4 linked regions of the Arabidopsis thaliana genome follow. The protein of the gene in region 4 interacts with the protein of the main gene of each other region in a biochemical or structural test. Each region holds a gene or a part of one and is shown on either strand. Other genes may lie near its edges.

Region 1 (8,019 bases), on a different chromosome or scaffold from region 4:
GAAGCTCCAACGGAAGGTGTAGCCGTGACAGCGCTGGCTGAGCCATTTTCAGGCGGTGGAGCTACTCCCCATTTACCTTCTGACTCAAGCGGCTCGAATATATGGACCCCTCCGTCTGACAGACCCACTGCAAACATGTTGGATTCTTGCGGATGAGCCGCTATCACCAGTGGATGGACATTCGAGTTGCTGCACAAAACATCAACATGAAGACTCAAGATTCATGATCCAACATTGCACTAGTTTATATTCATTTCATTAACTCACCTGAGAGAAGCTGGCAAATATGCAGAGGGATTGACTCTGCAACGCAATCGAAGGTTTGCAGAGCTGAAGACGCATATTGTAGCGTCCATGAAACTTGTGTATATCAATTGGCTATCACATGAGAATGTGGCATGTGTTATTGGAGCTGCTGATTCACGCACAGGCCACTGGAATCAAAATAAAGACATTTCTTTCTTCTATAAGGGTTACTCAGATGCAAGGAGAGAGAATGAACATATATAAAGACTAAAACCTGTTTCATGCATTCAAGCTTGGTTGTTTCGTATATAGCGAGCTGAGTTTCATGGACCACAAGGAAGTGTACTTGATCTTGATGAAACTGAACACGCGTGTCTGACAAAGAAGACGTGGATCTTCCCTGTGGAATTTGCAGAACCTTGCTTTTCTGCTTCTCCCATCCATCCGTGTTCCATACGCAAAGCTGCATACAAAAACCAAAAGATTCACACTAAGACTTCTAAGGATTTGGATTCTTTATTACAAAACATGAGATGAATCAGCACCTGAGCGTCTGCTCCAGACGAAACCAGAACGTTTAATACATTGGAGAAAGCGAGGCCGGTTATTCTCTTAGAATGTCCTTTAAGCTTGCTCTTAACCTCATCAACACGAACATTGTAAATCTGTATTGTACTGTCATCCATCCCGATCGCAATGATATTGTTATCTTGAGGGTGAAAAGCAAGAAACGTTGCGGCAGGAGGAGGCGGCATGAAAGTAGCCATTGTCTGCGCTTAGCCAACAACACAATTAAATGTAACAGATGAAGCATTGTTTGCATACATTAGACATAGTGCTGTCTGTAGCTGGGATTTTACCTTAAACGTCATCATATTAAACAAAGAGATCTTTCCTCCCGATGCTGACATCACGTAGGAATCATTTTTCGATAAAGCAAAACAGGGTACGGCTTCTTCTGGATTAGTTTCAGCCACATCGTTTGTCATTAAGATCCCGCTCGCTGGTTGCCACTGCTGAGGAGGTAAAGAAGCCGTTGCCTACACAAAATCTCAAATTGAATTTCATCATGATTTCAACTCTTTTGGCGATCTTAAAGGAAGATTTTAGACCATAAGTACCTTCCCAGTTGCATTACGGTCATTTCGCTGCCACTTCCATAGCAGATGAATAGCATTTGATGCCAATGCCAAAATTGCATTTCCCGAATTTGTGAAAATCAATCTCGATATCTGCTCAAGTTTTGAGTCATTAGAATCAAGCCATATAAGTACAGTTATGTCAGTCTATGTGTTAGTACCTTGGTGACTCTCATATTCTCAGGGAGTCTCAATGAACGGCACTGAGAGGGTTCGCCGACTTCAGTAAGCTTCCATACCTTAGACTTATCATTTGATTCTTCGGTAATCACTGGCTTCACATCCACCATATTCCGCGAATCTCCATTCTGTTGGAAAGGTAAGTGATCAACAACGATGATTGGACCCAGACCAAGAGATAGAGAAACTGACGGAAAAAGTATCGATTTTCGTACCATTCCAGGGATGGAAACGACAGAGGCAGGTCTCTCTACCATCGGAATGCTGTTGATTGCAGGCTGCAAATGTACATGAAAAATAAAGTGTTGAAGAAATTTCAAATTGGGGGTTAGTAATTTGCTTGTTGAAGATCCAGTGAGCACAAAATTCAGTACCTTGGAGGATTCAGAAGATAAGTTCTCGACTGTGTGCAATAGCCTTAGACCATCTGAGTTTGCCATAACCTTAATCATATTGTCATTTGCGGAAACAGCCAAGAGAGAGCCTTCCTTGTTAAATCTGATCCGTGGACTTGCCTACAAAACATAGAGAGCCATGATGGCTGCAAATGAAAACATTCGGTTCCCAGGGAGAATCGAGGTATTTGTTTGCATACCTGGAGACCTCCATCAGCATCAATGGCAGTCAAAAGCTGTATGGTGTCCATATCCCAGAACTTAATGGAGAAGTCGTCACCCGCAGCGAGATAACGGTTTTTAGTAGTATCAAACTGGACAACACCAAGGGAACGCTTGTGGAATCCTTGATAAGTTCTCTTCACAGCTCCTTCGCTTTCATTCCACTCAACTATGAACGATTCCCCATCTTTACTCGTCCCACAAGAAAATAGCCTATCCATGTGAATATAATAAAAAATAGATTTTAAATTTATTATCACTTCATGACGATACAGAACAGAACCACAACATAAAGATGATGAGAATCATGTTATAACCTAGTTCCATCAGCACTGTAGGCCATCGTTGTACACCAGCGACCAGGAGCTTCGTAGTCAACCCGAGAACCCATATTATCATATAACCATGCTTTTATTTTTCCGTCAAGAGCAGTTGAAAAGATAAACTTAAGCAGAAGAAGAAATAAACAAGTCAAAACCAAATAGAAACGAATTTCAACTTGTACTTAGCAAAAATGAAACCGTATAAATATTGCTACTTTACCTGAATGTTTTCCTTGTAGTGAGGGCAGATAGAGTAAACAGGAGCTTCATGGCCTTCAAAAGTATACCGTTTTACACCCGTTGCAGCATCCCAGACCTTAATTCACAGAATTGATTAGTCTGTTTTTAGAGTTCCAACAAAAAAAAAAAAAAACAAGAGTTAAGGAAATGAAAGAAGAAAAAAAATACTGAACCTTGATGGTTTTGTCATCACCACAAGTAGTAACACATAGTTGCTTGTTCGGAGTGGAAAATGCAATGTCATTGACACCGCCAACATGAGCATCAATCTGAAATAATAAAAAATGATTTTCATTACAGGAAATGAAAGAAATACTCCTAAAATGTTGTTGTAAACTATATCACACCTCAAGGTGTTGCCTCATGTCTTCACCACCGTGATAAGAGTATAGCTGTACAATATGTCTCGAATAAGCAACTCCTGCAGTTGAAAACGTGCGCATATGAATACTCAAATCGGTTGAAAGAGCATTTGTAATCTCAAGTCTTACCGAATAGGGAACCGTCCGGGCTCCAAATCACACGGTTGACAGAAACGACAGGTTCTTTCACCAAAGCAGCCTATAAAGACCAGAATTGTTGGTCACTGAAGTTTCAAATAGATATTAGATATTAATATTCTGGTTGATTTTCACAAAAGAAGACACCTGCAAGGGCATCGAACATTTACTCAAGTCCCAAACTTTGAAAGTCTTCTGGACTAGACGTTCTCGAGAACCGACTTCCCAGAGCCCAATATCCCCTACATTCGTACCAACTGGAACAAAGAAAATTGAAGCAAGAAACTTCTGGTTTTACAAAATTTCTGATGATGTATGTTACATGAAATATGCATACAGACCAAGAAACAGACCTAGTAGCAGAGTCTGTTTAATAGGATGGAAATCCATGCTCATGGGAGATGAGCCTTGGCTCAAAGTTCGTGCAACTGTCTTGGGCAAGTCATCAGGTGCTTTGAAGGTTTGATTATGACCATGAGCCTGCCCCGGGAATGTCATTGGTAACATGTTCACACCTAGACTCACCTACATATGGGGAGAAAGAAGAAATACGTTTAAAGTCTAAACTAGTACTACCAATTATGTAAAATTGGTATTGATAAGAAAATATATAATATTAATTAAGATTTTTCTCACCTCGTCAGAGATTCCCATAGGTCTGGTTCGCTTTGAGACATGGTCTGAGTCACCTGATGGATAGTCTACAGCGGAATTAGAAGGAGGAGTTCTCGGGTGTTTCAAGGCTGCTAAGAACCAAAAAGGAGAACATGTTACATAGATCACAGGTGAAACTTAAAGGTTCTGAAAAAAAGGCGAGGATAAAATTTAAGACTATAGTTCCACACAGCTTTTATAAAGAAACACCACATTTGATAAGCAAATAACCTTGGATGGATGGAGCACCAAGAGCAATGGGTCCTCCAGACACAGCTGGATGTGGGACAGAGGAAGGACTAGACATCCAACCAGCAAGAGGTGTCGGAACCGGAGAAGGTGTTGGTTGAAAAGGCTAAAGACATAAAGGTAAGTCAAGCACGGCATGTAAAGGTAACTATAGAGCTAGAACCAAAAGCAGTAGAAATGGCACTTATAGAAAATACGAAAAATCAGGTGGAAATTGACCTACCCCGTGTGCGCCTAGAGGAGGAAATCCCTCGGCTTTTGGTAATGATCCAAGAAGCGGATTGTTGACAGGGGATGGTGCTCGTGCATCATTTGGTAGGCGGCAGGAATGATCGACAAAGAGAGTCTTAATATCAGGATTAGGCCTTGGGTTCTTACAAAGCTGGTGTTGCCAATTTAAGCTGCAGGTTTATGTAGCCACATAGAAACAAGGAGTTAAAGTAGCTGACAAGAAGAAAATTTGTTGAAGTGAACAAGAAAGGACAAAGAATACCTCTGATTAATCAGAGTCCTGAGGCGTGAAGTTCTAAGGGTAGGAAACTGCAATTTATCACGGAATAAAGGATTAGCTTCAATCAACTTCTTGAGTTCCACCAACATGATAGCTCTGGCGGACTTTGTGTCCCCATACTTGGATAACTGCTCGTTCTCCCTGAAGTTTTCTAAGGTCAAGAGCTGAGTGATTTCCTTGAAAAGCTCCTCATTAAAAGTGGAAAACACTTTCAAATCTTTGACTAAAATATCGACAGCCTTGGGACGATCATGCCTAGATAGAAGCAGCAGCAGGTGTGATTGATTGGCAATATGAAAACATTTGATTCTTGTTGTTGTTGAGAGACACAAGTTACCTATCCAAGGCCTCGAGATACTTCTGCTTCCTAATCTCGAAGAAAATCTTCATGGAGTATCGATTATCATCAACTTTAGTAAAACCAGAGAGATACTTCTCAACCTCATCCCAGTTACCATTGTGCACCTCATCCTCAAAATACTTCATATTGAAGAAAAACCCAGATTCTTGTTCAAGCCTAATTAATAATCAATCAAGTTAATAATAATGCCTAATAAAAGACAAAAAGGAAAAGAGAGATCGGACATACTTATGAACAGTCTCTTTAAACTTCTCTTCATCTAAAAACTGTAAGATCAAGAAGACGAGCTCTCTGCTCAGAGAAGACATGATTGATTTTGCCACTCAGTCCGATAAAGCTATCAAGTCAGATGCAGAAAAACCCACCAGATCTGCATATCAATATAATGGCGACGATGATAACCTTACAAAACCATCAAATCATCCCAATTTACTGGGTTTCAGATATTCCTCCATTTAATTATTATTTTTAAAAAATGAAAATAGACACAGCCTCTTAATTACACAGTATATAACTAGATCTTTACAACTATCCTCCGGAAAATTCTCCAAAAGTCTCTATTCCGGCGGATTTAATTAGTGTTTAATTGGGCTACACAAAAATTAGGTCTTCCTAGTATTATTATTGTCCACCGAATTAAATATAAAGCTTAAAATGGCCATCTTTTTCACTTCCATGAGACAAAAACAAAAATCAAAAACCCAGAAAAGCTACGATTTAGATATTAAACCAAAAATGAAAGACCTAGATACGTTACTTGCCATGAAGAAGAAGAAGACGATCGATTTCAGAAACAAAGGCCAGAGCTTCAGTTTCTCTCTCCTGATATTGAAAGAGGCCAAGGATTTGGGTTTTTTGGACTCTCCTCTCTCGACCAGAAAGTAAGAAAAAAACTAATGGAAAAAAAAAAAACAAGTTTTCTCTCTCTCTCTCTCTCTCTCTTCAGGCTTATTTATACGAACATTAAAATCTTGCAGAAATGGAGACTTTAATTTAAAACCAAAAAATAAAAAGTGATTTTAATATGCGAAGGTGACGGATAACGGAGTCTAATAAGACAATGCACCTATCACACGATAAGGGAGCTGATTTTGATAAGCACGTTGACTTATATATAAGTACAGATTAAAGTTTAAACCAGCATATACGACTTAGCCGGCTACAATTCTCGACGTTATCGGCTCAGAATCTCTAGCTGCTAGCTGTACTCCAAGTAGACATGATCCTCTGTGTCACAACATGAGTACACCCTCGGTGAGTGCCGTCGATCTTGTACGATGAACCTTAAAGGATATTCATCCAACGGTTTGAAAGCGAAGTAGCTGCGTCCCCACATTTCCCTCATAACACGACAAAGCTTTTCCTTCTGAAATGCATCTTTAAGTTCCATTGCCCTTGAAAATGACAAATATTTACCTAAATTGCCATTTTTATTCTTGAGATGCGGTACTCGTTGAACAAAAATCACGTGATTGAGAGATAATGGAAGAGGTTATCAGTTAAATTCTCCCGACATGATAACTCTTAAGCCTTCTCGTGATTTGGAGTCGTTAATAATTTAGTGAGACTCGTTTAATTTCTAATCATTTAACTGTTTTGGATTGTTTTTGTTAATCGCATAATGTGATGTGAGCTATATATATATTGACTATTGAGGATTATAATCGAATTTATTTACTCGATGACTAATAAAATGATTTTGTTTGTTTATTCACAGCGTAATTGGTATTTTCGTTATATATATTCGACGGTTTAATTACAATGAACCAATATGTTAATTTTATAATGTGTCTAGTGTTATTTTATATTGGTCTTTCAGACTTTGACAAGAAACATCGAGTTTGACGTCATTACCGTAAAGTATTTTGGCACCAAATGAAGATCAATATTATTTGTTTTAATTGCTCAAGAATGATGATGGTTGCTTTTGCTAAAGTTATGGGTGCACAAGAAAAGTATATAACTTTTGAAAAGCACATTTTTATTCTTTTAATTTACACGGTAACACGAGTATCTCTACTTTTCTAGTAATGCTTACACAGATTGATATCTTGATTATTTGGATATAAGTTCATTTGCCGATTTAGCTTGCTTTTTTATTCAAATACTGATTAACATGGAATGCAAGAAAAAGGAAAAAAAAACCTTCTTCTTGCCATGGCGAGTGAGAGGACTACTAAAAAGAATACAGTAATTCCAAACTGATAAATATGAGTTTTTACGTGTGGAAAAAAAAAATTTGAGTATTACCTTAGCTCTGCAAGATATATTAAGAATACAGCAAATAAAGAAGAAATCAAATAAGCATATTAGATTTGTTTTCACAAACTGAAAAATCCTCAAATACATAAAAAGAAAAACACATAAAAATCCAAACTAATAAATATGATTAATGATTCACTGATTTTCGCCTGAACTAAATTATGGTCGTAAGTTTTTTGTAAAAAATTGTTAAAAAAACAAAAACTGTCTTATCGAGACTTATAACAAATGATGAAAATCTGAAGAAATAATATATATTTTTCAAATAATTATGTGGTTTGACATGTCAACGTCTTTATTATCAATCAGAAGACAGTAAGGAACATTAACAATGAAAAGGGAAGTTATAAATTAAGATGTCAATATCAGACAACTACTCGTCAATCCATTATGATACGTTTCATTATGAGTCACTAGGTACATGTGCATGATGTAATTATCACTTATTAAACAGATTATAATTTTCAACTAAAAATTCGATTTGGTTTCTAAATAATATTTACAAACAATACAAATCATCAATGACAAAAAAATTGTTTGCTACAACGTCAAACTATTTTAAATGAGTAGATTCTCGATAGATCCTCTACAATCTACATACTTTACTTTGAAATAACTCTCCACTCTCCAGATCAGAACACAAATTGTAATAGATTAATAGCTCAAAAATAGATGAGTACTTCTCTTTAGAAATATAAAAATCAGACTAACACGTTGAAAATTATATAGTACTATGT
Region 2 (5,582 bases), about 15 Mb from region 4:
CACGTGTTTCCTTCTCTTGTACTTCATCCTTCTAAGTTTTTTCTTTATTTTTTACTTTTGAAGAATGTGTATTCAGTCGTATATTAAAATAATTAAATTATCTAAATTTTGGGTGCACAAAAAAAAATATAATTTAAAATTTAATGAAGTTTTTTTATTTTTTTAATATCTATGAATTTAATAAAGTTTAAGATGATTTTATATACTTATTTCAAAATTTCTCCTCGCAAAATTTGCAAACGTTGGATTGCGAAAAAAAAATTTTTTACTCGAACTTTTCTCTTTAGAACATCTCCAACTCATCTTTATTTTTGTCTTTAAACTTTATTTTTGCCTCTATTTTACTCTAACTCATCTTTATTCTTACCTCTATTATAGAGATCTTTATTTTTTTTCTCTATATATAAAAATAGAAAATAAAAATCTCTATTTTTCCTTCTATATTTATAAAGAAAAATAGAGACAACCATTAGAAATGGTCTTTTCTATTTGCTAAAAGAATCTCCCAACGCAAATAACCAATTTTCTTGTAGAGGCGCTCTACCAGAAGCATAATTATGTTTATAAAATAACGAATATAAGGAAATATTCGTATTTTCTCTAATTTAAAATTCACTACAGAAGAAAGTGTAAAGAAATTTAGACACAAGTGGACTAACAAAAAGCTGAGAGTTAGAGGAAAGAAAAAGAAGATAAAACGATGTTACAGTTTTACAAACTAAACGAACCCACCGAAGACTGGTTTTATCTTCACGAAGGATTAAGCCTTAAGATACCGTTGTTTCCTCTAGTTTCCAATATAGCCGAGACGGTGAAGGACCATTGCTAAAACGAGCATTAATATTGCAAAGATCAATCCGCCTTTTCCGAACAACCACTTCTTTGCTTTCTTCGCTTTCTCCATCCCGGTTTGAGCCCGATCCGCCCATCGCATCTGCAACAACGTGTTTACAATTGAGACAACTATACAATCAACTTTGAATGTTCTTTTGGTTTTACTAAACCGAATTCGTACCATTTTCTCCAAGGCGTCGGGAGAAAGAGAAGCCATGGCTTGCTGAGCTTTTGCAGCGTCTTCTTGAGAAAGCTTCATTCCAAATTGTTCGCTCATGCTAGCCATCATCTCAGGGTTCATGTTCTTTATCATAGACGTGAACATCTACCAATATACAGAGAAACTACTATATGAACATCAACAATCACATTATGTTGACTAAATTGGTAAAACATAAACCGAAAATGATCAAACCTGTCGCATCGCTGGATCTTTCATTTGGTTTCTCATCTGTTCCTGTAAGTCAGCAGGCGGAGCAGAAGGGATGCTTGGTTCGAAACCGCTTCTTGGAGCCACAAAGGAATTTCCCGAAGAACTCCCACTCGCTCCTAAACTTTCCCGTGGTTCAGATGCTTCTGCATTGCCGTATGATGTTGAAGCTGGAGCGTTTGCTTTCAAAGACGATGCCATGTTAAACATCCTCTCACGCTCTTCTGGTGACATCTTACCCATCATATCAGATGCAAGTTTAAGCATGTCAGGTGTGGGTGTAAAACCGTTTTCGGTAGATGGCGCAGTCGGGGCGAAAGGGTTATCTCCTTTAAACGAAGAGGCTGTTTGAACCATTTTTTGAATCTCTTCAGGTGACATTTTGCCTATCATACTTGACGCAGTTTTGAACATGTCCGGTGACATGTCTCCAGCTTTGCCTCCGCTTAGAGCAGCAAGTGTATCGGGATCAGTTTTTGAAATGAAATTCTGGAAAGTTCTGCAGGCCATAGAAAGAATAAAAACAATTAGAAAATCATACTAATCGTGCCAAATGTAGCAGAAAAAGGATGCTTTAGATTATATTTGTCTTCAAGATTAGGAGACAAAAAGATGAAACAACACATCAAACACTAATGTTTGGAAAGGTGTCGAACCTGATTGCTTCTGGATTATCTCTGAGAGCTTGCAATCCATCAACATCAGTCTTTACGCCCTGAGCATGACCATTAGCCTCTTTTGACGGTTTTTTATTCTCTCCGGAAGTAACATTATTTTCTTCAGTTATGTCTTCAATCACCACACCTAATAACCAAACAACATAACATTTTTCAGTTCGTTTCCATATTCATGGACGAAGCATATCATTGATGTAGTAAAGAAACGTCTGGTCTGACATAATACACTGAATTCTTTCGAATAAATCATAAGGAATAATATTATACCTCTTGATGCCTTGCCAGGTCCCTCGACAGCCAATCTTTCCTTAACATCTCTGCATCAGAAAAGATAATACTTCAAGTCAAAAGTTATTTTTTCAATGTTAATATCAAAACCTCTGAGATAAGCAGAACTGAAAAGTATGACATTACCAGTAATGAATATAAAAATCCATACCTTAACACATCGGCAATTGTCTCATCTTCTGGGGAAACTTCATGGGCCTTGCTTAGATCAGAGACGGCATCCTTATAGTTTAAGAGAGTGAATGAGCATTGAGCAAACATATAGTCAGGACATATCTACAGTACAAACATATATATCGACAAGGAATCTCAAGAAAGTTCCATAAGCAACAGAAGAACTCACTTCAAACAAGCCCAAATCTCTGTAAGCTTGACCCCTTCTGTATAGGGCTTTGACATTCCTTGCATCATATCCCAAAACCTGAAATAATGTAAGAATGTAAATTTATCAGAAGAATGTCGAAACAGTTTTGAATAGATCATAAAACGCTGTATGACATCATGTGTTACATCTACAAAAAAGAAGCCAAAAGATTGCCATCTCTCTTTTTCCTAAAAATGTTTTCATCTATGAGTTTTCAGAAAATTAAGAGCATAAAGAATATACCTCAGAACCTTCCTTTATGCACTCTTCATGCTGATTCGTCTTCAAATAACACGACATTAGATTGAGAGAACAAGCCAACAAAATTGCTCCACCTTTAGAAGATGGAATCTCTTTCAGATTGTTCTTCGCCTGAGATATGGTCCAAGAGCATTGTAAACAAGTAGAAAAGAATCGCATATCAGGTTACAAATAAAACTCTTCTTGTCAAGTAGCATGACAAATGAGATACGTCTGCAGACTTACACGCAAGTATTTCTCTGCGGCATCGCTGAAATTTCCTCGGCTATGAAGCTCGTTTCCCTGCCAAACGTAGTAGAAAATGAGATTAACATCAAATTACACAAAGGTCCACTTGCTGAAGCCATTCTTGTTCCTTACTTTATAATCAGGAAAGCAAAATTCAATAGAAAACTTCTCTCAGGAAGTCAATTGTTACCTGTTTTTTAAGCATCTGAGCTGCATTGATCTGATAAGTAAATTGAGCATCAGCATGAGCACGCATAGCTGCAATATCTTCAGGGGAAGCTTTAGCCATCTTCTCGCTAATCTCAGCCATATCTTCAGGCCGAGTATGCTTAAGCTGTTCCGCAGCTTGTTTCAAATCTTCAGGCCTCATGTTCTTCATACTCTCTGTTGCCATATTCATCAAATCTGGATTTGACATCATCTGTATAATAAACAATGGTATAAATTCATCATACAAAGCCATAATCAAATCAAATCAAACAAATTCTCCTCAGAATCGATCGAATAATTCGAATCAGGAAAAATAACGAAACCTGTTGTTGGATCCTAGCGAAATCAGCAGGAGTCATACGACTCATCTGATCTTGAGCGAGCCGAATCATCTCAGGATCCATTAACCCGTTAAACATCGTGTTTTTTTTTCTCGAAGCTTCGATGTGGTTCTCTGTAATCAGATCGGAAACACAGAAAATCGAAATTCGCCAGAGAAGGATAAGCTCGGAATCTGGATCGAGATTGAGTTTGTGAGAATCGGAAAATCGAAGGAGAATTGTTTTGCCGACCCGAAAGTAGTTTCCAATAATATAGAATCGAATTGGAAAATTTATCGCTCAACCTCCTCAATTCACCGACCGGAATATGCCTGGATGATGGAGAATGACTGTTTTACCCTTGATCTACGATGATGCTGTGACGTGCCATAATAAATTAATTTACGTAATTGTATTGATTAACGTAACTATATGATTACGTGCAAATTGTCATGTCCTTGTCCATGTTGGAAGACTAATCTCGTGTTTTTTTTCTTCTTAAACTGAAACGAATCTCTTGTTAAACTCTTTTTTATTTCGTTTTAGAAAGAGTCGTCCAATTTAACTGTTACACGTGTTAAAGTGTCAATAAAATTCAATTTAAATTTGTTTGAGGGTACAAATAATTTTTTGATATTTTAAAATTCTTTAGGGTCTGGATATCGATATCATATGTTTGCCCAGCTACATCTCCATGATATAAGCTCCGAATGGTGATTGCGTTTTGCGGTGCGGGAGAAGTACGGTGCGGTTCAAATAGTAACGAAAATATATAGATACATATGAATATGTAGAGATTTTAATACTGTTACAGTACTGTTGCGGTGCGGTTTTAAGTGCGGTTTTGATTACCATTCAGAGCCATAATATATTTGTTGGAATCCAAAAATGTTTAGTATTCAGTTTCATAGACTCAATCTCTAAAGTAATCCATTTATTAAACTTTAAAATATGCATGTCTTCTGCAGAATTTTTAGTATCTTAAATATCAAAATGATCTTAACAAAAAAATACATATGTACAACTATTCGGGCAAAGAATTTTATTTCAATACGACAATCTTTTCAGTTGTTGAACGAGTTTTAGTGTTTTGACCATACAAAGAAAAAAGACGAGTTTTAGTGACATATAAGTTGTGTTTGGTAATACTTTTTTCAATATTGTTTCGATATAGTTTCATCGACGAGTACATCTATCAATTAATTTTTCTGAAATGTTTATTTCTCTCCACCGCAGCATAAATGTTTCAATGTTTGAAAGAATGGAAACGGTGGTATAGTCACATTAGAAGAGGACCACTTTGACTAAAGCTAGCTACAACTCTCATCTATCTCTCGTCTCCCAATTTTTCAATATTAGCAGAGATTATGATTCACTAAATGATAGCAGTCTGAGAGAAGTGAATGTTGATATGATTTATGATTATCAATTAACTAATCACTAAGTACTATTGCAGCGAGAACGAGGAAATTCTAGCAAACCTCTTCTTCTTGGTCACAATGAAACCAATGGATTAATAAAGTTATATCATATAACAAACAAGAAGGAAACAATATCTTCAACTTATAATTAATAAAGCAATATTGCTAAAGCATTCTGATACATGTTGTGCAACATCTCTCGAAGCTAGATTACAACATGCATGTGCTTCTAAATAGATTACAACAAAGCAACTTTTTAACATGTTTACACGAACCAAAATATGCATACACATATATAGCCTTGATTTTATAATTCACATAGCCCTTGTTATCCTTTAGAATACATCGTAGACACATTCTTACGTATTCTACTATTATATGGCAAAGCAATCTAGGATAATGAGTGAGTTGTATTTTTTGAATGTACCCTCTATTGTACAATGAAAACGAATGTAAATATTCAGTTTTGTTTTTGTTGCCCACATTTTATTGCCGTAAATTGCAAACTATTTTTTTAAAATTGATATGCTAGGGAAAAAATGAGTTAAA
Region 3 (5,659 bases), on a different chromosome or scaffold from region 4:
GGCGGTGGTTGTCAGAATGGTGGAGGTCCTCCGAGACGGTCGCTGTAATTTGTGATTGTCGTTGGTCTACACTTATTAGTATAAAACTGTTTCAGTTCTACCTGCTCTATTAAGTTAAAGATTGATTTTTAGCAAAACACACATATTAAGAAAACAATATAAATATATTATTTTATTATTTTATAGTTTTCTATAACTCTAAACCAATGATAATTAACTATTTTTCTTGGAAATTACAGTTCACAATACTAACCAATTAATATCACATGAAAAACTTTAAAAATCAATCTTTTAGAAACAATTCTTTTTCTAGAAAATCAATCATTTAGAAACAGAAGAAAGTATTGTTTTCGCAAAAAAAAATAATCGTATTTGATTTTATTTCATAAGGAGGGAAATAGAAACAGTTCCCAATGGATTTTTTGTAAGCATATATGCATGCTGCGGAAACCAAAATTCCCTAGCATTGTAGTGCCCACTTGCTGATTCAAGCAAACGTGAAAAAAATCGTGGAAGAAAGCAAAGAACTCAGAGTGGCCAAGTAACTCAAAATTTCATTAACAGTCTCAAGCACTGAATCTATCCTTTGGGTAAAAACAATTTCCCAGTCGATATTACTATGCATCAGTCTTTGCCATGATGCAAAAGTAAAAACATGTTTACCAAAATGAGGGAAATAGAAACAATTCCCAAAGTCCTTTTTTGAATGTTTTTTCTTTCTTTATATGCTTCTTTTCACTTTTTGTTAGTCTTCTTCCTCACTATCCGACCAAACCTACATAGACAACATCAAAAACCCTGAGAGTTAAATTAGTTGACATAAAGCTTACACTAGGTCAGTTTTCTGAGATTAACAACAAATCTTAGGCTTACCCTAAATGAAGCAGAGCACCCCCCCCCCCCCCTATACGAACATTTTGCGGTACTGCTTTTTCTCTTCGTTGTCTCTAAAGGCAATCTGCAACACATGGTTATTAACGTCAGCTCTAAGATTTTATACTAGAAGTAAAGTAACTGCAAAAAGAACTTGTGTTCTTTATCCGCATACCGACCTTTTTCATAACAGCAGCATATTCTTTCTTGATACCAGCTGAAAAATCAACTCACAGAAATAAATGCTAGTTAGATTTCTCTCGTAATATATTTAAGTGTGTTGTACTATGTTCATACATTGATAATGATGAACCAAACTTGTCAAACCACAACTAATAGAAGCTTGATGAATCACTCACCGTCATTAGGTTCGAATTGAAGAGCTTTCTCAAGGCTTTCAGCAGCAGCATCGACGTTATTAAGAGCCATGTATGCCTAACATTATAAACAAACGCAGATAAGAAATAGACACCATCTTCCTCTCATGAGAAATCTAGAATTTTCGTTATTGTGGTCTAGGTTCTAGAAAACTGTCAAACAATAAGTTTTTAAGTACCTGGCCTTGTCGAAACAATGCTTTAACATTGTTATCTTCATCACGCATAGCAAATTCAGTGTCCAACAACGCTCCTTTTGCATCTCCGAATTTGAGTTTGCAGGCCTGCCACAACAGCCAGTTACAATACAATGAGATAACATAGTAAAAAAAAATCGGTTATACAGGCACAACAAAGCAATTAAGTTGGACAAGTGAAAACACTGGCAACGTAAACAGAGATGCAAACAATAATTCATATGAGCAATGTATGTCCCACAAGCATAATCTCAGAGAATATTATCCTGCTTATGTCAAGGTCAACCTACCCTACTTTTTCCCAAGAAATTAATCAAACAGCAGAAACCAACATAAATGACAGGTCTGCAGTGTAGAGCACTTCAAATTAATTTTTAGTTCACAATCAATTGCTTATCATTCTATCGACGGTACAGCTCATCCGTAAGAATTAAGCAGATTCAACAAAAAAAATTGTAATGTTAAAAACCCAACAGAGTAAGAAATTTAAGTTCTTTTGGAAAAATCAACGACTCCAAAGACAATCAATCTTCAGATGGTACGTAAAGCACACACACATATAAGGTAGATATGTTCAACTTACAAGAAAAGATATCAACAAGGATGTATGTAGCTTTAAAAAAGGTGTAAAAGCATGATGAACTTACAGCACTATTAGTGAAGATCTGCGACTTTGTCTTACGCAAGGCAGTACTCGTCTCTACAAGATCCCAAGTAGAGAGTGAGTGGGAACATTGGTATGGATAGTATAAATATTTTTTGAGATGAAGTAAGTGGAAACATATATAGAGAGAAAAACTGATAAACCACCTTCATCAATGCCCTCTTTCTCCCAGCAAATATCCAGATAGCGTAAAGCCTTACGGTACTTTCTAAGAGCCATCTTATAGTCTTGTTTCTGAGAGTAAATCAAGGTCAAAAACAGATCAGACTCACAGAAATGAAAATATGGAACAGACAAACGTATATATTCAATTTAAAACAATGGAAAAAGCACCTTAAAGTGCTCATTCCCATGAGCCTTGACAAAATCAACAGTCTCCATCCACCAAGATAACTCAGCTGGGCTTTCATTCAGATCAATAGGCCAGTCAGGGTACACATCACCATCCTTGAAAAAGTCACAAATCCCATCATCTGCACCCTCAGGGATTTCTCCACAGTCATGGATCACAACATCCTGAGAAGGACAAGACTGTTCCTCTATGCTAACATGCTCAATCGACCGAACAACACCCATTCCTTTCGTAACCCTTCCAAACACAACATGTTTCCCATCTAAATGAGAAGTGCGAGTTGTCGTAATGAAAAACTGAGAGCCATTAGTGTTGGGACCAGAGTTAGCCATAGAGAGCATCCCTTTCCTCTCATGTTTCAGCTCAAAATTCTCATCGTCAAACTTCAAGCCATAGATAGACTCACCACCAGTACCATCATTAGCTGATATATCCCCACCTTGTATCATAAACCCCTTGATAACACGATGAAATCGATTCCCCTGTAAACAAATACACCAAATACCATAAGTACATCATCCTATAGTACAATTTCAACCTAAAGTTTTGATCTTTACCTCACCACTACAAACTACAGTAACCTAATTGCAATACTGAAACAAAGTCAGAAGCTATTCAGCAATACGAGCAAAAACCCATTAAACCTCAAATCATAAGCATTCAGAACCATTCTATAGTACAATTGCATCCTAAAGTTTTGATCTTTCTTTCACAACTAATTGCAAATTTAACCAAGTTTTGATCTTTATAAACCCCAATGACGAATGACCCATTAAACCACAAACCCTAAATCACAGAAACAACAAATACCCATTTCTACATTTCATACATAAGAGAGTATAAACAAAGATATAGAGAGAAAGAGAGAACCTTGTAATGGAGAGGTACACCAGTATTTGGACCTAAACCCTTCTCACCGGTACAGAGTAATCGAAAATTCTCAGCGGTTTTGGGAACAACATCATCGTAAAGCTCAATAACAATCCTTCCTTCAAGCTCACCTCCAATGCTAATGTCCATGAAACACTTTGACCTACCCATCTTCTTCTTCTTCTTCTTCCTCTTGCTTTCTTGAAACCGAAACAAAGACGAGACAGAGAGAGAGAGAGAGAGAGAGAGAGAGAGAGAGAGAGAGAGAGAGAGAGAGAGAGAGAGAGAGAGAGAGAGAGAGAGAAAGAATCAGAGGAAGAGACAAAGAACAATGGTGTGAATCTCTGTCTCAGTAGCTTCCGTCTCTAAAAGACTGTAGACGGGGACTTGTCTCTTATTAAACGCAGAAATCAAAACGACAGATAGAAGAAAACCCTAGGACCCACTTTCTTCCTCCAACAAATTTTGTCTCTTTTTATTTATTTTTAACTTTTAATTAATTTATTTATTACTTGCTGCCAAAATTAAAAAATAAGAAATTTATTACTCGTCCCTTCGGGTACATTCCATAAGAGTGGATAGTAGGTGATTGCCCACTATGGCCACTACACAATAAATATTTGGTTTTATTATTTCTTTTTCTTAAAAATTATTTAATTTTTTTGCAAAATATTATTCTTTTTTTTTAGGGAAAAAATCTAAAAAAAACCCAACTATTTTTTATTTAAAACTTTAATACCCAATTGTTTTTGATTGGAACCTAAAGTTCCAAAATATTAAATTTTGTTCAAGAAAAACACTATTTAATTGTTCGTGGTTAAATCATTCATGCGCGTTAACAGACGTTAATTTGGCTGACGGAATCACTAAACCGGGGTTAATGGTTAACAATCCGCGGTTTAATTGACTAACTAAAAGACTACAGTACCCTCATTTGTTTTCCCCCAAATCGATTTGGGATTGAGAAACCCTAACTCCCCAAATTTCTAATTTCTCTCCAAAAAACTTAGAAATTGAAAGAGGCGATGATTCGAAGCGTTTGATCGGGTATATCTGCGTTCGATCCAGTTGGTAAACAGTCGAAAAGATGAGGTATGTCGATTTGTGTGTTGTGGGTCTGTCGATTTGAATTTTTAGGGTTCTTAAGTTTGAAATTTTCTGGGTTTGTTTGAAATTGGGTTAGGGGTTATGAATCAGTTAGGTTATAGTTTGTTTACCACTACTAATCGGTTAATTTCTATTTTCCAGTGATTTCGAGTGTTTGAAACTCAACATAAACTATAGAGGCGATGTATCCTTCACGGACCAAGGGTTCGATTACTCTGGAGGGGTCGAGGCGAAAGACATGGTGATGGATCCTGATCTGATGACATGGTCTATATTCGACGATTCTTGCAAAGAAAATGGAGTCAATGGTGAAGTCGAATCGATTTGGTACAAGCTTCCAGAAGAGGAAATCTATTCAGCAAGAGTTATCGGTGCCGACAAAGATGGTGGGATAAGGGAGTTATGTCGTGAGGCGATGATTGGTGGGGAAGTTGACATATACATCGTCAATGCCGTCTCTGTACCTGCAGCTTTTCCGCTTCCAAATGATGTTGTAGAAGACGAGGAACTTGGAGTTGAGGATGATGATGCCGAAGATATCATAGACGAGGAGCCTGCAGCAGAAACTAATGAGTGCCCTGAAAGAGTACAAGCTAATGGAGAAGATCCAGTAGAAGAAAGAAGGCACGATGATCCTCGGTTTGAGGCTTTCTTTGACGAAATTCACAATGGTACAGAAGCTGCAGATGATGTTGTTGATGATGCTGCAGCTGAAGACATTAACACAGTACCAGAAGAAACCGTTGCTGAAGAGGTTGAAGATGAAGATGAATTTGAGAGACAGTGTTATGATGTAGAGCGTCCGGATCATGCAATGGACACAGATGATGAATGGGATGCGTATGACCAAGCAGAAAGATCATCATCTCGACAGAAGTTTTCGAAGGATAAACCTCCATACATTTGGATGTTGCAGACTTTCAATAGTGGTTAAGAGGTTAAGGATCAACTCTTGCGGTATGTATTGAAGATGAATTATGATGTGAAGTTGTGTAGATGGGGTGCAAATAAGTTGGCAGCAATCTGCAGCCATGAAAATTGTGAGTGGAAGATATACTGCTCCACTCATAAGCGTTCAGGTATATGGAGAGTATAAACTTATGTTGATAAGCATCACCATGCTAAGAGTGGGAAAGCAAAAATGCTGAAACAGGGAGTCATCGCTAGGATGTTCAGAGATGAAGCAAGAAGGCGGCCTTTTTTGAGATGGACTGACATC
Region 4 (5,122 bases):
AATATTGACGAGTCTTTTTGACTGATGGGTCGATTTTAAGGCCCAAAGTATTCAACAACGGACATTTTGGGCCCATCTAAAAATTTGATTGACCATTTGTTTGCACTTTGCAGCAAGAGATTGGCAATTGGCAGCGTAGTTTTTTTTTTTTTTAGTGAAAACATTTCAATTTAACTGTGGCAACTTTTCTAATTCGGATGCAATATAATTCACAGCAAGATATGTATGCCAGAAGATATGATCTCTGTGTTATTCTATTTTCTTATAATTTGTTATTCTAAATTCTAATTAGGAAGATATAATCATAACTAGGTTACTACTAATACCCTGACAAAATTCAGCTTGGATATGTAAGAATCAGTCTCTTGAGCATAATAGAATCTTTGTCATAAAACCGAGTTCAGAGAAATATCTTCACAACAATAAAACCATAGAAAAAATTCGTGAAGATAATCACCAAAATAACATAAGTTTTAACGAAAAGAAAAAAAGAAAACCATAGTCTTATAACACCGCTAATAATTTAGTCGACTTTTGTGTGATAAATTAGTCGACTTCCTCCATCTTGCTACCTTCGGCATCAGCATCGTCTTCAAGGGGAGGCATCTCAGCATCGGCTTCAACAGCATCATCGTCATCAATGCTCAGTCCAAGCTTCAGCATCCTGTGGATCCTGCTTCCGAAAGTGTTTGGCTCATCAAGGCTGAAACCAGAAGTGAGAAGAGCGGTCTCAAAGAGGAGAAGCACAAGGTCCTTCACAGACTTGTCGTTCTTGTCTGCGTCAGCTCGCTTTCTCAACTCATCCATGATGGAGTTCTCTGGATTAATCTCCATTGTCTTCTTACTCGACATGTAACCAGCCATGCTGCTGTCTCTCAAGGCTTGAGCTTTCATGATCCTCTCCATGTTTGCAGTCCAGCCGTATTCGCCGGTTACAAGACAGCACGGTGAGTCCACAACACGGTCAGAAACAATAACCTTCTCGACCTTGTCACCCAAAACGTCTTTGATCACTTTGCAGAGTCCTTCAAACTTCTCCTTGAGCTCTTCTTTCTTCTTCTTTTCATCTTCGGTCTCATCCAGTTTCAGACCTTCCTTGGTTGCAGAAACAAGTTTCTTTCCCTCGAATTCCTTAAGCTGACCAATAGCGTACTCATCAATCGCATCAACCATGTAGAGAACTTCAATACCTTTCTTCTTGAGCTTCTCAAGGAATGGAGAGTTCTCAACAGCCTTCTTGCTCTCACCAGTGATGTAGAAGATATCGTTCTGACCTTCCTTCATCCTTGTCACGTAGTCCTTGAGACTAGTCAATTCATCACCGCTCTTGGTTGAGTGGTAACGGAGCAACTCAGCAATCTTGGTTCTGTTTTGGGAGTCCTCATGGATACCGAGCTTCAGGTTCTTAGAGAAAGCCTCGTAGAACTTGTTGTAGTCTTCCTTGTTCTCAGCAATCTCAAAGAAGAGCTCAAGGCACTTCTTCACAAGGTTCTTGCGGATGACCTTGAGGATCTTGTTCTGCTGCAATGTCTCTCTCGAGATGTTGAGAGGAAGATCTTCAGAGTCGACAATACCTTTCACAAATCCGAGGTACTCAGGGATGATGTCTTCACAGTTGTCCATGATGAAGACACGACGGACATAGAGCTTGATGTTGTTGGGCTTCTTCTTAGTGTCAAAGAGATCAAAAGGAGCTCTCTTGGGAACAAAGAGGATAGCTTTGAACTCAAGCTGTCCTTCAACAGAGAAATGCTTCACAGCCAAATGCTCCTCCCAATCATTGCTGAGACTCTTGTAGAAAGCAGCGTACTCCTCCTTGTTGATCTCCTCTGGCTTCCTCATCCAGATAGGCTTCTGCTTGTTCACCAAATCCCACTCATGAGAAACCTCCTTAATCTTCTTCTTTTTCTTCTCCTCCTTTTCTTTCTCCTCATCAACTTCCTCAACCTTGCCTTCCTCATCCTTCTTCTCTTCCTCCTCTTCATCATCAGAGATCTCCTTCTCAATGGTCTTCTCAATCCAGAGAGAGATTGGGTAGCTGATGAACTCAGAGTGCTTCTTCACCAAATCCTTAAGCCTTCGCTCCTCAAGGTACTCCAACTGGTCTTCCTTGAGGTAAAGAACCATCTTTGTTCCTCTACCAAGAGTCTCCCCAGAGGTGTCTCTGGTCACAGTGAAAGATCCCCCGGCCTGAGACTCCCACACGTACTGCTCATCGTCATTGTGCTTGGTAGTAACAACAACCTTGTCAGCAACCAAGTAAGCAGAGTAGAAACCAACACCAAACTGACCAATCATGCTAACATCAGCTCCAGCAGCCAGTGCTTCCATGAATTCCTTGGTTCCAGATCTTGCAATTGTTCCAAGGTTGTTGACCAAATCTAATAGAAGAAGCACGAATTAGCCAACAAAACAAACACAGATGCAAGACTAACAAACAACAACAAAATCGAAACAAATTGATTTAGGATGAAATCAATTACGTACCAGCCTTGGTCATGCCAATACCACTATCAATAATGGTCAAGGTGTTGTTAGTCTTGTCGGGAATGATGTGAATGAAGAGCTCAGGCTGACCATCGAGCTTGCTCTTGTCCGTCAAGGACTCGAATCTAATCTTGTCCAAAGCCTGTTTTCACCAGAATAGAATCACAATCGTAAGCAAACAATACACATAATATGTATGCAAATCAACTATAAGCAATCGAAAACTTGGTAATCTAACAAGAAACTACTTAAATCCTTGGTATCAACACTAAACCTAAACAATAGATTTGTACACAAAAAGCTTCGCAACTTCAGTAAGTAACCAAAATTCTCCCAACGGAAAGAACACTAAACCCTAACCAAACCTAAATCTACAGATCCATCCGCCAAATCAATCAAACGAGATACACAAGTATACAATAAGGTAGAGAGAGATAGAGATCGTACATCAGAAGAGTTACTGATGAGTTCACGGAGGAAGATCTCCTTGTTAGAGTAAAAGGTATTGATGATGAGGGAAAGCAACTGGTTGATCTCAGCTTGGAAAGCAAAGGTTTCAGCGTCCGCCATTGTCGTAGATCGGAAAAAATCGAAGAACTAGGGTTTAAGAATGAAATTGAGAGAACAAAATTATCTTGAGAGCAGAGAGAAGTACTGATGCGGGATTTAGGAGAAGGATGTTATTATATATAGAGTGGTGTGGGAACCTCCATAAGGGTTTCTTTTCCTTTTTTTTTCTTTCTTCTAGATCGTTCTTTTTCCTTTATTTTGTTTGAACTAACTTGCAAGTTTTTCTAGATCCTTCTCCAAGCAGTGATGTTTTTGACTGATGGGGGCCATTTTAAGGCCCAACGTATCCAATAACAGACATTTTGGGCCCAACTAAAAAAGATTTGATTGACCACTTGTCTGCAATTTGCAGTAAGAGATGTATGCCACATTGCCAGTGTAGTAAACTCAGTGAAAACATACGTGTAATAACTTTCTTAATTCTGATGTAATAATTCACAGTAAGACATTGAAGCTAACGACTTACCCTAGATTAGAGAATGTATCCACCAAGCAACTCTTCAAGTTCCATACCTCATCCAGTGGCTAGTGATTTGAAGTTTTGAACCAATTTAGCAGAAAGTATCAATATAGGAAATTTATAACAAAACTGTCTTTGAGCCATTGGACCAACATATTTTACCAGATTTGTCATTTAACCACTGTTGAAGATCTTTCATCTTTCTTTATACACGAGAGAATCAAGTTATTTTCTTTGCATAGGTCAAAGCGAAAGCTCATCTCCCAAACATTCGGAAGACAGAGGAGGTAAGAGTAGAACTGAGGAACTTCATTCCCGATGATCCACCAGGGAAATATGATATACAGTAGTACGCCAGTGCAATAACCTATGGATTCACAGAGAACAGAGACCAGGTTTTTTATGAGATTACTATACTTACAGAATGTGCAGATACGTGACTAATCTTTAAACCGACATGAAGGATATGATTTAGTGAGTTCTTAAAGTATATATTCCATATCGATAACGGGTGAGTAATAATATATCAAAGCTGTTTCTGTCGCAAGTAAGTGCATTTGCAAAAACAAGCCAAGAGACCAACCAAAGATATGGCGTTCAAGGCTTCTTCATAATTCATACTAACCCAACTTGTATTTTAAAACAGCAATAAGAAAGTCTACATGTTTTTTACTAAACACATTATGTTTCGACGAGGCAAGAGCTTACTAGATGAAACATGCAGGGTAAAAAAGAACTTCATAGGTAAGATTTGTGAAATGGGGAAGAGGAAAATTTTAACATATGAAAAACAGAGGATATAAACACCAACAAGAGTCGGGAAGGAAGATGAAATTTAAGTACCTGTAATGCAGAGAAAATCACAGAGAGAATGTAGCTATGGAGCACCATCGAGACATATATGGTGCCAACCATGGTGGCAATGAAACCTAAAGTTAGTGGAAGCCTCTGGAGAAGCCAGCAAACAAGAAATTAAAATTCCAAAGAGAAAAATGTAAACGAAATACAGCAGATATAAGAAGCTGCACAACACAAGGTTTTGTTATTAGTTATTACCTCTGCCGATGACATGTGAGCGAGTTGATTTTGCGGGCCACGAAGAGCGAAGAAAGATCCGATGATAAATCCACATCCAAGGGTAAAACAAATTGCAAACTTCTGTGGCATAAGCACCATGACTGGAAGAAACATGGTGAAGGCAATGAAGATGAAGAATACACCACTTGCTAGAAGTAAACCGAAATACATCAAAGCTTTTCCTGAAGGCATACTACTTGTTGCAGACTGCAGGTTATCTCTAACTCCTTTCGAAACACTGTTAACAATCCAGATTTGAGTACAACAAAATTCAAAATCAAAAAGTTAGTAACACTTCAAGAAAAAGATATGCTTAAGACTCTTAATCAATTCTAAGTCATTGAGAGAAGACACTAATCAAAATCATTCACTAACAATAGCTTCAAACCCTGAGAATTTGTAAATCTGATCAACGAATCTGGCAAAGCTTAAACTATATGGTTAATCACAATTTCTCAGATTCCAGATTTAATTTACACCAATCCAATCCTCAATAGCAGGCGAAAACGCCTAATTTCTCAGATACGG

What was found.
Region 1: the proteins of HSP81-2 (region 4) and TPR1 form a complex in vitro, tested with the Arabidopsis thaliana proteins (one study listed by BioGRID).
Region 2: the proteins of HSP81-2 (region 4) and TPR7 form a complex in vitro, tested with the Arabidopsis thaliana proteins (2 studies listed by BioGRID).
Region 3: the proteins of HSP81-2 (region 4) and SQN form a complex in vitro, tested with the Arabidopsis thaliana proteins (one study listed by BioGRID).

The regions. Positions count from the first base shown.
Region 1 is NC_003070.9:30,261,119-30,269,137, forward strand, and holds the start of TPR1 (TOPLESS-related 1), read right to left. Parts: upstream 6,008-8,019; 5' UTR 5,782-6,007; intron 5,423-5,781; exon of another isoform or gene 5,391-5,422; 5' UTR 5,329-5,390; coding exon 5,249-5,328; intron 5,177-5,248; coding exon 4,997-5,176; intron 4,915-4,996; coding exon 4,642-4,914; intron 4,550-4,641; coding exon 4,372-4,549; intron 4,255-4,371; coding exon 4,131-4,254; intron 3,992-4,130; coding exon 3,882-3,991; intron 3,771-3,881; coding exon 3,599-3,770; intron 3,503-3,598; coding exon 3,393-3,502; intron 3,307-3,392; coding exon 3,237-3,306; intron 3,167-3,236; coding exon 3,093-3,166; intron 3,015-3,092; coding exon 2,919-3,014; intron 2,822-2,918; coding exon 2,726-2,821; intron 2,628-2,725; coding exon 2,500-2,627; intron 2,396-2,499; coding exon 2,161-2,395; intron 2,081-2,160; coding exon 1,940-2,080; intron 1,844-1,939; coding exon 1,781-1,843; intron 1,694-1,780; coding exon 1,547-1,693; intron 1,479-1,546; coding exon 1,368-1,478; and 10 more. UniProt on the Arabidopsis thaliana protein: Transcriptional corepressor. Activates TIR-NB-LRR R protein-mediated immune responses through repression of negative regulators such as CNGC2/DND1. Negative regulator of jasmonate responses.
Region 2 is NC_003076.8:7,271,524-7,277,105, reverse strand, and holds TPR7 (Tetratricopeptide repeat (TPR)-like superfamily protein), read right to left. Parts: upstream 4,036-5,582; 5' UTR 3,712-4,035; coding exon 3,616-3,711; intron 3,504-3,615; coding exon 3,273-3,503; intron 3,137-3,272; coding exon 3,080-3,136; intron 2,966-3,079; coding exon 2,837-2,965; intron 2,651-2,836; coding exon 2,573-2,650; intron 2,452-2,572; coding exon 2,381-2,451; intron 2,259-2,380; coding exon 2,209-2,258; intron 2,069-2,208; coding exon 1,921-2,068; intron 1,764-1,920; coding exon 1,250-1,763; intron 1,160-1,249; coding exon 1,016-1,159; intron 935-1,015; coding exon 788-934; 3' UTR 527-787; downstream 1-526. UniProt on the Arabidopsis thaliana protein: Plays a role in protein import into the endoplasmic reticulum (ER). May function as chaperone docking protein during post-translational protein translocation into the ER. Chaperone receptor mediating Hsp70-dependent protein targeting to chloroplasts.
Region 3 is NC_003071.7:6,877,240-6,882,898, forward strand, and holds SQN (peptidyl-prolyl cis-trans isomerase / cyclophilin-40 (CYP40) / rotamase), read right to left. Parts: upstream 3,660-5,659; 5' UTR 3,505-3,659; coding exon 3,334-3,504; intron 2,946-3,333; coding exon 2,445-2,945; intron 2,346-2,444; coding exon 2,258-2,345; intron 2,148-2,257; coding exon 2,095-2,147; intron 1,535-2,094; coding exon 1,430-1,534; intron 1,309-1,429; coding exon 1,233-1,308; intron 1,091-1,232; coding exon 1,053-1,090; intron 959-1,052; coding exon 905-958; 3' UTR 874-904; intron 776-873; 3' UTR 535-775; downstream 1-534. UniProt on the Arabidopsis thaliana protein: PPIases accelerate the folding of proteins. It catalyzes the cis-trans isomerization of proline imidic peptide bonds in oligopeptides.
Region 4 is NC_003076.8:22,684,858-22,689,979, reverse strand, and holds HSP81-2 (heat shock protein 81-2), read right to left. Parts: upstream 3,149-5,122; 5' UTR 3,058-3,148; coding exon 2,848-3,057; intron 2,630-2,847; coding exon 2,488-2,629; intron 2,382-2,487; coding exon 547-2,381; 3' UTR 509-546; downstream 1-508. Other genes in the region: AT5G56020 (Got1/Sft2-like vescicle transport protein family), read right to left, coding at 3,774-3,884, 4,361-4,465, 4,574-4,832. UniProt on the Arabidopsis thaliana protein: Molecular chaperone. Involved in RPM1-mediated resistance. Component of the RPM1/RAR1/SGT1 complex. May stabilize RPM1 and protect it from SGT1-mediated degradation. Associates with RAR1 which may function as co-chaperone. Possesses ATPase activity.